Saccharomyces cerevisiae S288C: one gene and its partner. The protein of the gene in region 1 interacts with the protein of each later gene in a biochemical or structural test. Each region holds a gene or a part of one and is shown on either strand. Other genes may lie near its edges.

Region 1 (7,043 bases):
TGGAGTGCTCAGAGGCGTTCCAACTGATGATGGATACTGCGGAAACTGTGATTGTGGCCCAGGTGGAAAGTACATAGGCGACATTTGATAAGGTGTATACGGAATCATAGATGGGTGTCCGTAAAATGACCAACCAGATGGATTGGCTTGGTTTTGGGTCATCATGCACTGCTGTGGGTACGGCCCATTCTGTGGAGGTGGTACTGAAGCAGGTTGAGGAGAGGCATGATGGGGGTTCTCTGGAACAGCTGATGAAGCAGGTGTTGTTGTCTGTTGAGAGTTAGCCTTAGTGGAAGCCTTCTCACATTCTTCTGTTTTGGAAGCTGAAACGTCTAACGGATCTTGATTTGTGTGGACTTCCTTAGAAGTAACCGAAGCACAGGCGCTACCATGAGAAATATGTGAATGTTGAGATAATTGTTGGGATTCCATTGTTGATAAAGGCTATAATATTAGGTATACAGAATATACTAGAAGTTCTCCTCGAGGATATAGGAATCCTCAAAATGGAATCTATATTTCTACATACTAATATTACGATTATTCCTCATTCCGTTTTATATGTTTATATTCATTGATCCTATTACATTATCAATCCTTGCGTTTCAGCTTCCTCTAACTTCGATGACAGCTTCTCATAACTTATGTCATCATCTTAACACCGTATATGATAATATATTGATAATATAACTATTAGTTGATAGACGATAGTGGATTTTTATTCCAACAGCAACATGTTAAAACGAAAGCTGATGTTTGGAAGCCGTCTCGAGTAGGCTATACCGACATATTTTCCCAGGAATATAAAGGAATTGTTGTTGCGATAAAGTTTGTGATCTGTTCTGATGCTGAAGGAACCTTGTACCCGAGAGAGTATAACTCCCGTCTCCATGATGTAAAAAGACTTGGGAGAACAGGACTGTCATTCACAGATAAAAAGGAGGCGTATTTACTCGAATTTAAAAACCAGGACGTTGTAGATCATGTTCATAAGTTAATCTTGCCTTTTAACACATCTTGGCAATCTAACTAGATTCGTCCAATTGTATTTTTACTTCAATAATCTTACATAATAATAAAAATTTTTCTATTTGTCCAAAAAAAAAAAAAATAAATAAAATAAAAAAAGCTACCGTAATTCATGCGTACAGTAACTGGCTTCCTTACTATACCAAGTTTATTCTTTGATTGCGCTGCCAAAATAGCCTGTCAAAATTTGCGCGGATGTATTTTCGACGTCAACGGTGCCATTATTTTTCTGTCACTGACACCTGTACTCCTGAACGGGTATCGGCATTTAGAACGCTGCCTCCAAATGTCTGGTGAACGTTCGTGAATATTCAGAGTGTCGTTATTGCAATGGAATGGCTGCCTTTGTGACGGCGTCAGGATAAATTGTGAGTCACTGAAACATATTCGGCAAAGTAAAAAAACGGACGTAAAAGATTCTTTCTTTATTCTTTTCACGACAGTCTACAAGTAACTGAAATAGCATACATTTACCAAAAAAATCGAAAAAAATGTTTAATACTACACCAATTAATATCGACAAATGGTTGAAGGAGAACGAAGGCCTTTTGAAACCACCGGTGAATAATTATTGCTTACATAAAGGGGGATTCACTGTGATGATTGTCGGTGGGCCTAATGAAAGAACCGGTTATCACATCAATCCAACTCCCGAATGGTTCTATCAAAAAAAAGGATCTATGCTTTTAAAGGTTGTGGATGAGACAGACGCTGAACCAAAGTTCATTGATATCATCATCAATGAAGGCGATTCATATTTATTGCCAGGAAATGTTCCTCACAGTCCTGTTCGGTTTGCTGATACTGTGGGTATTGTTGTGGAACAAGATAGGCCTGGGGGAGAAAACGATAAGATAAGGTGGTACTGTTCTCATTGTCGCCAAGTGGTCCACGAGAGTGAACTGCAAATGTTAGACTTAGGTACCCAAGTGAAAGAAGCCATTTTAGATTTTGAAAATGATGTCGAAAAGAGGACATGTTTCCATTGCAAGACGTTAAACTACGCACGCCCTCAATCTAATTAAGTATTAGAAGAGTTGTTAGTTGTACTTTTATAGCTCTCTTGTTACGTAAGATTGCGGCACTAAGATGCGGTGCCAATTTTTTTTTTTTTTCTCTTGATCAAAGCAGCTAGCTGTTCATCAAGATATGTAACGTTTTTAAGCACTGAACTAACAAGGGGAGCCAGTGAACGACTATGTCTTCACAAGATGTTCTGATACATTCAGATGATCCGTGCCATCCAGCAAATCTCATTTGCACGCTATGCAAGCAGTTTTTTCATAATAATTGGTGCACCGGAACTGGAGGTGGGATTTCAATAAAAGATCCTAACACGAATTATTATTATCTCGCCCCATCTGGGGTGCAGAAGGAGAAGATGATACCTGAGGATTTGTTTGTCATGGACGCTCAGACATTAGAGTATTTGCGCTCTCCCAAGCTTTACAAGCCAAGCGCATGTACTCCATTGTTCTTAGCGTGCTACCAAAAGAAAAATGCAGGTGCTATAATACATACACACTCCCAAAATGCTGTGATATGCTCCTTGCTATTTGGCGATGAGTTCAGGATTGCTAACATCGAACAAATCAAAGCAATTCCAAGCGGAAAGGTGGACCCTGTGACCAAGAAACCCATGGCGCTATCGTTTTTTGATACGCTGAAGATTCCCATCATTGAAAACATGGCGCATGAGGACGAGTTGATCGATGACTTGCACAAGACTTTTAAAGATTATCCAGACACATGCGCCGTAATTGTGAGGAGACATGGCATTTTTGTTTGGGGTCCGACAATCGATAAGGCCAAAATTTTCAACGAAGCCATCGATTATTTGATGGAGCTGGCCATAAAGATGTACCAAATGGGGATTCCTCCCGACTGTGGCATTGGCGAAGAGAAGAAGCATCTGAAGATGGCCAGTCCGTGACGGGTTAATGCTTAAATTTATTGTATGATTTATATACTTCTATACATGGTATTATTATTATTATTATTATTATTATTATTATTATTATTATTATTATTACTATTATTGCAACTATATTATTTTGTCTTTGATTCGTACACTTTTTCCCATATTACATGCTCATTTTCGATTTTATTCTTGGTGTCCTTTAGCATTGGGACCTTCTTTTCGTCTATAGGAGCTAGACTGTCATCATTTTCTGCATCTATGAGGCCAACAAGAGCAATCTCGCTGCCTCGAAGTAACTGTGCCTTGCAGATGAATTCCTTGCTTATGCGGTTGAAAACATTGGTTATGAATAGATTAGTATTTTTGTCGAAGCCGTTTAGGCTTGCTATGAGGCATTCGCCGTCAACTTTGATTATAACAACTCTTTTATTTAAGTAGTCTTTCAAGGTGGCTGACATGGTGCACGATAGTGTGTTCTTCTTGTATGGTGTACTGTATGCAGCTTGCTGGTCCATCTTATAAGAACCACGTAAGATTAGTTTTTTTTTTTCCCTTTACGCCATGATAGTATTTTCAGGACTTAAAGGGAAAATCAACAAGAACAGAAAGAAGGAAAACAAGCAAAACAAGGATACTGCAGACGTGTAGAAACATTTAGTAAAATGGTCGCTAGAGGTAGAACAGACGAGATATCTACAGATGTTTCAGAGGCTAATTCTGAACACTCGTTGATGATTACAGAAACATCATCACCGTTCAGATCTATATTCTCCCACAGTGGGAAAGTAGCGAATGCAGGCGCTTTAGAGGAATCGGACAAGCAGATACTGGAATGGGCAGGTAAACTGGAATTGGAGAGTATGGAGCTGAGGGAAAACTCTGACAAGCTAATTAAAGTTTTAAATGAAAATTCTAAGACATTATGTAAATCGCTAAACAAGTTTAACCAGCTACTGGAACAAGATGCTGCTACGAACGGTTCGTACCAACACAGTGCATACCCTCAAGTTTTTTATTCATTTTCTTCCAAAACACATTTACTAACAACTGTAGTATAGGAAACGTGAAAACCTTAATAAAGGATTTGGCTTCCCAGATTGAAAACCAACTGGACAAAGTGTCAACAGCAATGTTATCGAAAGGCGACGAGAAGAAGACAAAGTCGGATTCCAGCTACAGGCAGGTATTAGTCGAAGAAATAAGCAGGTATAATTCCAAGATAACGCGACACGTAACTAACAAGCAGCATGAGACGGAAAAGTCGATGAGGTGCACCCAGGAGATGCTCTTCAACGTCGGCAGCCAACTGGAGGACGTGCATAAAGTGCTCCTGTCTCTATCCAAAGACATGCACAGTCTACAAACCCGCCAGACTGCTCTAGAGATGGCGTTTCGAGAAAAGGCAGATCACGCCTACGATCGCCCGGATGTGTCTCTGAATGGCACCACACTCCTGCACGATATGGACGAAGCCCACGATAAGCAGCGTAAGAAGTCCGTGCCGCCACCAAGAATGATGGTCACAAGGTCCATGAAACGCAGAAGATCCAGCTCCCCAACCCTATCCACCAGCCAAAACCACAATAGCGAAGACAATGATGACGCTAGCCATCGGCTGAAGCGTGCGGCCAGGACCATTATTCCCTGGGAGGAACTAAGACCCGACACTCTGGAATCTGAGCTGTGAAACGGGCGTCCTGCTTTTTCATTCTACACAGGCATATGTAACAGCAGTGTATAGGCTATGTAAATCGGCCCAATCAACAAACAAGCGTTGCTTATTGGACTTGCTACTACCCCAACAAAGGAGAGAGCCTTTGATTGCATCCTCGGAAGAGACGGCATAAACACCGAGCCTCATCCTACAATGAAAAACCACGCCAGTTGGATATAAACCAGAAAAGGGTTTCAATTCAGTATCCACCATGAGCAAGACAAGATAAGACAAGATTGCATAAAAATGAGTGCTTCCAAAATGGCCATGTCCAACCTAGAGAAAATATTGGAACTGGTTCCTCTTTCGCCTACCAGTTTTGTCACAAAGTATCTGCCTGCCGCGCCCGTAGGGTCTAAGGGCACTTTTGGTGGAACGCTGGTATCACAATCGCTGCTGGCGTCATTGCATACTGTGCCATTGAACTTCTTCCCCACATCGCTACATTCGTATTTCATCAAGGGTGGTGATCCGCGGACCAAGATCACGTACCATGTGCAGAATCTGAGAAACGGTAGAAATTTCATCCATAAGCAGGTTAGTGCTTATCAGCACGACAAGTTGATATTTACGTCGATGATCTTATTTGCCGTGCAACGGTCCAAGGAGCACGACTCCTTGCAGCACTGGGAGACGATTCCAGGCCTGCAAGGTAAGCAGCCAGACCCTCATCGTTATGAAGAGGCCACTTCGCTTTTCCAGAAAGAAGTTCTGGACCCACAGAAATTGAGCAGGTATGCCTCATTGTCCGACAGGTTCCAAGACGCAACCTCGATGAGCAAGTATGTGGATGCGTTTCAATACGGAGTCATGGAGTACCAATTCCCCAAGGACATGTTCTACTCGGCAAGACACACCGACGAGCTGGATTATTTCGTCAAAGTGAGACCTCCCATCACTACCGTGGAGCACGCGGGCGACGAGTCTTCTTTACACAAGCATCATCCGTACAGGATCCCGAAGAGCATTACTCCTGAGAACGACGCTCGCTACAACTACGTGGCCTTTGCGTATCTGTCCGATTCCTACCTCCTACTCACGATCCCGTACTTCCACAACCTGCCTTTGTACTGCCACAGTTTCAGTGTCTCGCTCGACCACACGATTTACTTTCACCAGTTGCCTCATGTGAACAATTGGATCTATCTTAAGATTTCGAATCCCAGGTCCCACTGGGACAAGCACCTCGTACAGGGCAAGTATTTCGACACACAGTCGGGACGCATCATGGCAAGCGTCTCTCAGGAGGGCTACGTTGTCTACGGGTCAGAACGAGACATTCGAGCCAAGTTCTGAGGACAATTCCCTCCCACGTATAAACACATACATATATATTCTTATATTATATAATAATATCCTATTTATTATTACATCACCTTTCACGAGCGGGTATCATACCTTTTTCCCTTCGATCTAAGTAGAAAAAGGACCTGAATGATCATTGTGGTACTTATTCCCACGCATAACCGACTACGGCACCACAACGACGCACCAATGCCATCTGACGTAGCATCGAGGACCGGGCTGCCAACCCCGTGGACCGTCAGGTATAGTAAGTCCAAGAAAAGAGAGTATTTTTTCAATCCAGAGACGAAGCACTCGCAATGGGAGGAGCCTGAGGGCACCAACAAGGACCAGCTACACAAGCACTTAAGAGACCATCCAGTGCGTGTAAGATGCCTGCACATTCTCATCAAGCACAAGGATTCAAGAAGACCCGCATCGCATAGATCCGAGAACATTACGATATCCAAGCAAGACGCTACGGACGAACTGAAAACCTTAATCACGAGGTTGGATGACGACTCTAAGACGAACTCCTTCGAGGCCCTGGCTAAAGAGAGATCAGATTGCTCTTCATACAAGCGAGGCGGCGACCTCGGCTGGTTCGGGAGAGGCGAGATGCAGCCTAGCTTTGAAGACGCTGCCTTCCAGCTCAAGGTCGGCGAGGTAAGCGATATCGTTGAATCAGGAAGCGGTGTTCATGTGATCAAGCGGGTAGGTTAGGTTGGCATTTGCTTCTCCACCTCACCTTTTTATGTTCTTATTCCCTCTTGTATCCATTCCGTCCTCGCTGAACCCATGAAAAGAAAAAAAATTAACTAGTCACATAGTTAAATGGCGCTGTTCTTCGCTGCGAGCGGAACCGGGCCTGAAAAAAAATTTTCTCTTTTCCTCTCCAGATGACTCAGTAATATAGTAGTATATTATATAATGTAACAAAAGAAGAGACTGAAGTTTTATTATGCATTGTAGCGCCTGTAATCTTTAGTAACGGATTCTTGTATTTTTTTGTAAACAGCCAAGAAAAAAGTAGAGATGGGCTTGTTAACGAAAGTTGCTACATCTAGACAATTCTCTACAACGAGATGCGTTGCA
Region 2 (7,283 bases), on another chromosome or scaffold:
TTTCATGACGCCTGTGTATATTGGTATTGAGCCATCCGATGTCGTTTGGTTTAATTTGAGGATGTTCTGGTGGGAAAGATTAGGTAGGGAAGTCAGTGCGGTTTCAGCAATTGTCGCGCTAGTAATATTATGGGCTTTCCCAGTGGCTTTTGTTGGTATGATCTCTAATATTACTTCCTTGACTAATGAAGTTAAATGGTTAAAGTTCATCTATAAATTACCAAAACAACTATTAGGTTTACTGACATCTCTGGCCCCAACTGTGGCATTGGCCGTTTTAATGAGTTTCTTGCCGAAATTTATTAGGGGTATGGCTATCACTCAAGGTGCTCCATCTAAGCAAAATGTGGAATATTTCACTCAACAAGCTTATTTCGCCTTTCAAGTTATCCAAGTCTTTTTAGTTACCACTCTATCCTCCGCCGCCACTTCCACAGTAACGGAAATTGTTAAAGAGCCCACGAAGGCTATGGATCTACTGGCTTCTAATCTGCCAAAAGCTTCTAATTTTTTCATGTCATACGTTATTCTACAAGGTCTGTCCATTTCATCAGGTGCTCTTTTGCAAATTGTTCCACTAATACTCTTTTATGTTTTAGGTGCCTTTTTAGATGGTACCGTTAGGAAGAAATGGAATCGTTTTTGTGGGCTATCCAGTATGCAGTGGGGGACAGCTTTTCCAGTTTATACAAACTTGGCAGTTATTACTTTCTCCTACTCCATCATTTCTCCGTTGATTTTATTATTTGCTGCCGTCGCGTTTTTCCTATTGTATATTGCATATTTATACAATTTGACTTATGTCTATCAGGAATCACCCGACGCAAGGGGTATTTATTATCCAAGAGCTCTTTTCCAAACTATAGTTGGTATCTACATCGGTCAGATATGTCTATTAGGTCTTTTTGCCGTTGGTAAAGGTTGGGGCCCAATCGTTTTACAGGTAATTGGAATTTGTGTTACCGTCCTTATTCATTTACATTTGAGCGCTGCATTTGATCATTTATCAAAGGTTATACCCGTTGATACCATGAAACCGTTAGATGGTGTATCAGATACACCTTCTTTCAAAAATATTTATAAAGGCATAGAAAGTACAAAGGTGAAGAAAAATACTTTTGGTGCAAATATTGACATGGACGGAATCAAAGAATTACCTGAATTTCCAATAAAGAAATATCACAAGAGGAGTGAATCAGTCACTGAGCAACAAGTTGAAAATAGCATATTTAGTGAAAATACATTCGAATATCAATTCAACCCAGCAAATGAAGCCAATGCAGATGGGCACGCTATAAATGCAGAAAATTTAATTGAGGACGTGCCATTATTAGCAGATGGTGATACAATGAAAATTCCTCCGGCTCCATGGTGGAAGAGATTCTTAAAACCTCACATTTACTACTCCTATAAGGCTGTAAAGAGCAGACTGCCAGAAATATATGGTTTGGTTGATCCTGATGAAAGAGTCAATGATTTCGATATCTCTCATGCTTACGATTATCCAGCTGTTAGTGCACAATGCCCCGAATTGTGGATTCCTCGCGATCCTTTTGGATTTTCCAAATTGTTGATTTCAGACGTTTCTGGCGTTGTTGAAATGAACGATGAAAATGCTACCATCGATGAGAATTTGAAATTTACTCTGCGTGACGTACCACCACCATATAATGATGTTAAAGACGAAGCAAATGGTGAAGCAAATGGCGAATTTGACACAGCTAGTAAGGAAAATAATCCATTTGCGGACCCAAAGTATAAGGAAGAAGAGAGTCGTTCGGCAGTCTAAAGGTTAAACATTATCAGAAATTATCTATTCCTATTTGTTTAGCTGTTATCCTCTGATGGTTGAATTGTAATTTTACTAAGAAAAGGAGAGGAAAAGGACGTGCATATATTCTTTTAATACATTTAAAATATGATTCTAATCATTTCTTATATAATAGTGTATAGTCTAATCATTCATCGTGTATAGTAACCCTTTTTGTTTTTTTTTATGCAAAGTTTTTTTGTTTTTGGCAATCTATGAGGTTTGAATATTGGATAAAAGGAACTCCGCACAGTAATACGGAGCAGTCAGCTAATTTAACCAGCACTAATAGGGAGTACATTCAATTGGAAACTTTGATTCGCTTGTATGCGTGAAAAGCAAATTCCCTTCTAGAGAAGTTACTGAAAAACATGAATTTATTACGAATGAATGCTTTAACAAGCAAGGCTAGGTCAATAGAACGGTTAAAACAAACATTGAATATTTTATCCATTCGTAATCATAGACAATTCAGCACCATTCAACAAGGCAGCAAATATACCCTCGGGTTTAAGAAATACTTGACATTATTAAATGGAGAGGTTGGTTCTTTTTTCCATGATGTCCCTTTAGATTTGAATGAACATGAAAAGACCGTAAATATGATTGTTGAAGTACCAAGATGGACAACTGGAAAATTTGAAATATCCAAAGAACTTAGGTTCAATCCGATCGTTCAAGATACGAAGAATGGCAAGCTTAGGTTCGTGAACAATATCTTTCCCTATCACGGCTATATACACAACTATGGTGCTATTCCCCAAACATGGGAAGATCCCACAATTGAACATAAACTGGGGAAGTGTGACGTGGCTTTGAAAGGTGACAATGATCCTCTTGATTGTTGCGAAATCGGTTCGGATGTTTTGGAAATGGGTTCCATTAAAAAGGTCAAGGTATTAGGATCACTCGCTTTAATTGATGATGGAGAATTGGATTGGAAGGTCATAGTGATCGACGTAAATGATCCTTTATCCTCTAAAATAGATGACTTGGAAAAAATTGAGGAGTACTTTCCTGGGATTCTAGATACGACTAGGGAGTGGTTTAGAAAGTATAAAGTTCCAGCAGGGAAGCCATTAAATAGTTTCGCCTTTCATGAACAGTATCAAAATTCCAATAAAACCATCCAAACTATAAAGAAATGTCACAATTCGTGGAAAAACCTCATTTCAGGATCACTCCAGGAGAAGTATGACAACCTGCCTAATACAGAAAGGGCTGGTAATGGTGTCACACTTGAAGATAGTGTTAAACCCCCTTCTCAAATACCGCCTGAGGTGCAAAAATGGTATTACGTTTAATATGAAAATAATACCTTCGAAGAAAATGTTTAGATAAAGGTTCCTTGTATATAATTACGTAATCTCTGCTCTCTCGAATGTTGGCTGCTTGATGTATGTGAACGTTTGGAAAGAAACTTGGGTTTATATTCACTGCTAAAATGACATCCTATTAGAAGTTCGTCTTTCTCCGGTTCGGTTAGTCTACTCACCTAGAAACATCTTGCGAAAATCGTCGTTGGACATCTGCTCTTGTTTGTCAGGAATTTTTTTCTTTACTTGAAGATTTGGTCCTTTTTCCATCATGTTTATACAACTAGGTTTGACGTGTTTCATGCTGTGATTCTGTTGATTGTTATAATATCTTTTCATGTCATTAATAGTACCTGAACGTATCACCTTTCCCTGAAATTGAGATCCATTTAGTATCATTAGCATTTTTGCTGCAAACTTACTATCTCTAAATATAATAATGGCGCCATTGAAGTCGCTAACGAGAAGTATTTTCCTAATATCTTTTTCATTGATGTGTATTTCTTCCTGAAGAAATTGGCAGATTAAGCTTGGTGACACCTTATCTGAAAGTGGAAATAAGCATATTAGTGTTTCTAGTTCTTTGCTGTTACGCGATGCGAGAAGTCTTTTGACTTCGTTTCTTTCTAAGAATGGTTTTTTATCAGCCAAGGAAACGGAAATTTCCCTATTACCTAACAAACTTCTATTCATTTGAAGTGCCCTTTCAGCAGAATCTTTATTTTCAAAAACCATAAATGCACAACAGTTATTGAAACTGTGCTCTTTCTGTCCAGCAGGTATGTTGATTTTTTCAATGGAACCAAATCCCTCAAAAGATTCCCTCAGAAGGTTTTCGTCGAGCAATTCTGTACTTAGGTTTCGTATCATAATCTCTCGCCCCTCTAGTGTGGCAGAATCGGTCCGTTTCGACTTTTCCAGCGGATTGGAAACTTTAGTAACTAAAGTATAACCTTCTATTTTGAGTCCATTCAATTTTTCTACACAATATCTTGCATCCTCTTTAGAAGTAACATCGATGTAAGCGAACCTTCTGCTTGTATTGAATCGTAAACTGGGAAGCCGTATACTGAGTGCAACAACGTTAATATCTTGCAATAGATCTCTAATATTTCTTTGAGTATAACTTGGGGGGAAATTCGTCATCCATAATGTGCATTCTGTTAAATGAGATACTATAATTTCATTCTGACCTACAACTTTGTGTGTTTTGGTTATTGCAGCGAGGGCTCCATCATACCTGGCAAATTCAATACGTGCAAAACGAAAGTTCTTCTTCAGCGAATCCGCAACATCAACGTGTATAATGGGCCCACAATGTTTGAAGTACTTATAGACTTTGTTTTGATTATAGCTCTTAGGCAAATTTTTGACTAATACAGTTGTTAATTCTCTATTTCTTGTTAAAGCTTCGTTCGCCTTCTTAGAAGTTAATCCTGCGGCTGCTGGTGATCCTTCATCCAATGGTCGTTTTGAATCTGGTCTAGCGTGATGTCCATACTCCATTATCACAGATTATGAAGTGAATATGTGGGCTTGTTTATCGCTAATGATTCTCATATAATAAATATAAAGGGTTTTCAATGTTGTAGTAAATCTGCCATTTTGAATAAGTTCCCGCCTGAAAATTTTTTAGCGATGACTTTAAAAAAGACATTGATGCACTCTACAATTCATTGTCATGATGTACATAGAAAATTGAATGATACAAGCGGAAATATTATCAGAATAAATCGGACATGGATAGCAAAGAATATCTGATATCATATGGTTGGAAAGAAGGAGAAGCGTTTAGAGAAGGTGGTTTGAAAAGACCCATACTGGTAAAGCACAAGAGAGATAAGAAGGGATTGGGTAATGCTCCTGGCGGGAATGATGGCGAAGCATGGTGGGAAAGGCTATTTGATGGACATCTGAAGAACCTGGATGTAAGCACTGATTCGAATAATGGCAGTATTAAATTTACTCAAAATGAGGCAGTTGCTACTGCTGTATCGAAAAGTAGCTCACCTCTATACAGGTGGTTTGTAAAGGGAGAAGGGCTGAAAGGAACCATTACTAATCTTGGTAAAAAGGAGGAAGCCAGCTTTGTTGTATCTAGTGCAAGTTCGAGTAAAGGGAAGAAGAGAAGAAGGCGTGATGAAGATGATAACAAGGTCAAGAGAAAAAAATTGAAAAAAGATAAAAAGACTAGTAACGACAGTGAGAGTAAGAAGAAGAAGAAGAAGAAAAGCAAGAAGGAGAGTAAAAAAGGAAAGAAAAGTAAGCATAGCAGCGATGAAGGTGATAAATCGAAGCATAAAAAATCCAAAAAGTCAAAAAAACATAAAAAGGAAGAAAGTTCAGCAAGAAGAGATAGAAAGGAGCATATATGATTATCATAGTCTAATATGTAAATATGTATCCGTAAAAGACATTCTTAAAAGTTTGAATTTATGATCTTTTTATTTTTGTATTTAGTCTTTGTTTTCGAACTTTTATTAATATTAAATTTCAGTAAGTAAATTAAAAGAACATCTTTAAAAGAGTATATTTATTGTTACATATGTTGATCTTAAAAGGAGATGAATATTTCTTAATGGAAAAAGGTAAAAAAAAGATTTTCTCATTCATATGTTCCCATTAGGCAGTTCTATGAGGCAGTCGTCCAACTCGTAATCAGAGATCTCATTCTCATCCTCTAAGTAGCCCTTTACCTGAAAAAATGTTCTTTTGTTTAGAGCATCTTCCGTCTCTTCACGATTTAAGCGTTGTAGCTTGGATTTGTCCTTTGATGTCAACCGTTTATCCTTCAATAACTTTTCCACAGGTATGAAATCTTCTCTTGTTTTACTTAATAGCTCCTTTAAGTATGAACTGGTCTTTTTTGGCTGGTGATACTTTTTTAGAATTTGTTTGGGCAGTCTGAATTTTCTCTTTTTATACTTTTCTGGGATATCGTTATATAGCTCTAATGATTTCATGTAGATATCCGTCATATCCTCGTTCATTTCACAACCTCTTGAAACCAAGTCATGATATGTGTATTTAATTCGTCGATTGGCCTGCATGGGCTCGTCGTCTATCTGATTCGCCCTTATATTATTAGAATGCTTATCTTGCCTTACATCGAATTCGTTCTCTTTGGCTATTTTATCATGCAACCCTTCGAATAAGCTGTCCAGTTTAACTAAGATATTCCGGGATATTTCGTTTGGAATGTTCAATTCATCCACATCTAGAGTTACATCATGGTCCAAGGCAGACTTAGAGAGAAATTTTTGCCATTGAGCATCCAGCTCAACCCTCATCATATCAGAGGCGTGCATTAAAGCCCTATTTGAGATCTCCCCCGGCTGTACGCTTACATTTGCAATACCTTCCGGTATATCTTCATACAATTTGTCTACACTAGGGTCAATAATTGTATTGGGATTAGGCCAGCTCGTCCAGTTATCCTTAATTTGGGTCTTCACAAACTGGTTTACTTCATAAAAATGTTTTTTTTCATTTGCCTTATACAATAGTCTTTTCAAGAGGTACGCAGAGTATAAATGCAACGAAAGGTCGACTCTGTGCGAGTGTTCTAGAGAATCTAATAATTCATTTGCAGATTTCAAAGTCTCTTTATCAGCGGTTGTAGTGGTAAGCTCAGATCCTCGTATAATATCTTCGATAGGAGCATCGATCTGAGTTTCAATTTGACTTTCTTCGTCAAGATCACTCATCAAAACCCCACGTAATGTTTGTTCTCAAATATATTTCGTCGTCCCGAAATCAGCACAGTTTTATAATGCAACTGTTAAATGTCTAGAGAGAAAAAACCGCCGACACATCAATATTTTCACCCTTTATGGCTAAACTTGAGTGTGATTCTTGCATCTGAGTAATCTTCAAACACGAAAGGCCTTTTTGTTTATTTTGTAGAAGAAAAATATTTTAGTGAAAAATTATGGAAAGTAGTAGAAATCCTCTCAAGTGAAGCATGACAAAAAGAAAAGTAAGAAACCTTAAAAGACACTAATAGTTGATGAATTACTATGCGAGAACTCACGTAACTCCAACAATAAAAAGCTATTTACGTATACTGATTAAAAAAGAATACAAGAAAAATTTATTCTTTCCTATACAAACAATGATAATCAAATGGTCCATGTCAGTTCTATAGTTCATATACC

The links. Proteins that work in one complex are often made in the same cells at the same time.
Region 2: the proteins of LSM8 (region 1) and PRP24 form a complex in vitro, tested with the Saccharomyces cerevisiae proteins (one study listed by BioGRID).

The regions. Positions count from the first base shown.
Region 1 is NC_001142.9:466,149-473,191, reverse strand, and holds LSM8 (U4/U6-U5 snRNP complex subunit LSM8), read right to left. Parts: upstream 3,409-7,043; coding exon 3,079-3,408; downstream 1-3,078. Other genes in the region: YJR026W (gag protein), read right to left, coding at 1-432; BNA1 (3-hydroxyanthranilate 3,4-dioxygenase), read left to right, coding at 1,521-2,054; methylthioribulose 1-phosphate dehydratase MDE1, read left to right, coding at 2,228-2,962; REC107 (Rec107p), read left to right, coding at 3,613-3,928, 4,009-4,637; TES1 (palmitoyl-CoA hydrolase), read left to right, coding at 4,911-5,960; peptidylprolyl isomerase ESS1, read left to right, coding at 6,159-6,671; dihydroxy-acid dehydratase ILV3, read left to right, coding at 6,984-7,043. UniProt on the Saccharomyces cerevisiae protein: Component of the nuclear LSM2-LSM8 complex, which is involved in spliceosome assembly. The LSM2-LSM8 complex plays a role in the biogenesis of the spliceosomal U4/U6-U5 tri-snRNP complex by accelerating PRP24-mediated annealing of U4/U6 di-snRNA.
Region 2 is NC_001145.3:799,591-806,873, forward strand, and holds PRP24 (U6 snRNP complex subunit PRP24), read right to left. Parts: upstream 4,633-7,283; coding exon 3,298-4,632; downstream 1-3,297. Other genes in the region: RSN1 (Rsn1p), read left to right, coding at 1-1,789; inorganic diphosphatase PPA2, read left to right, coding at 2,182-3,114; TMA23 (Tma23p), read left to right, coding at 4,866-5,501; RRN9 (Rrn9p), read right to left, coding at 5,736-6,833; orotate phosphoribosyltransferase URA10, read right to left, coding at 7,275-7,283. UniProt on the Saccharomyces cerevisiae protein: Functions as a recycling factor of the spliceosome, a machinery that forms on each precursor-messenger RNA (pre-mRNA) and catalyzes the removal of introns.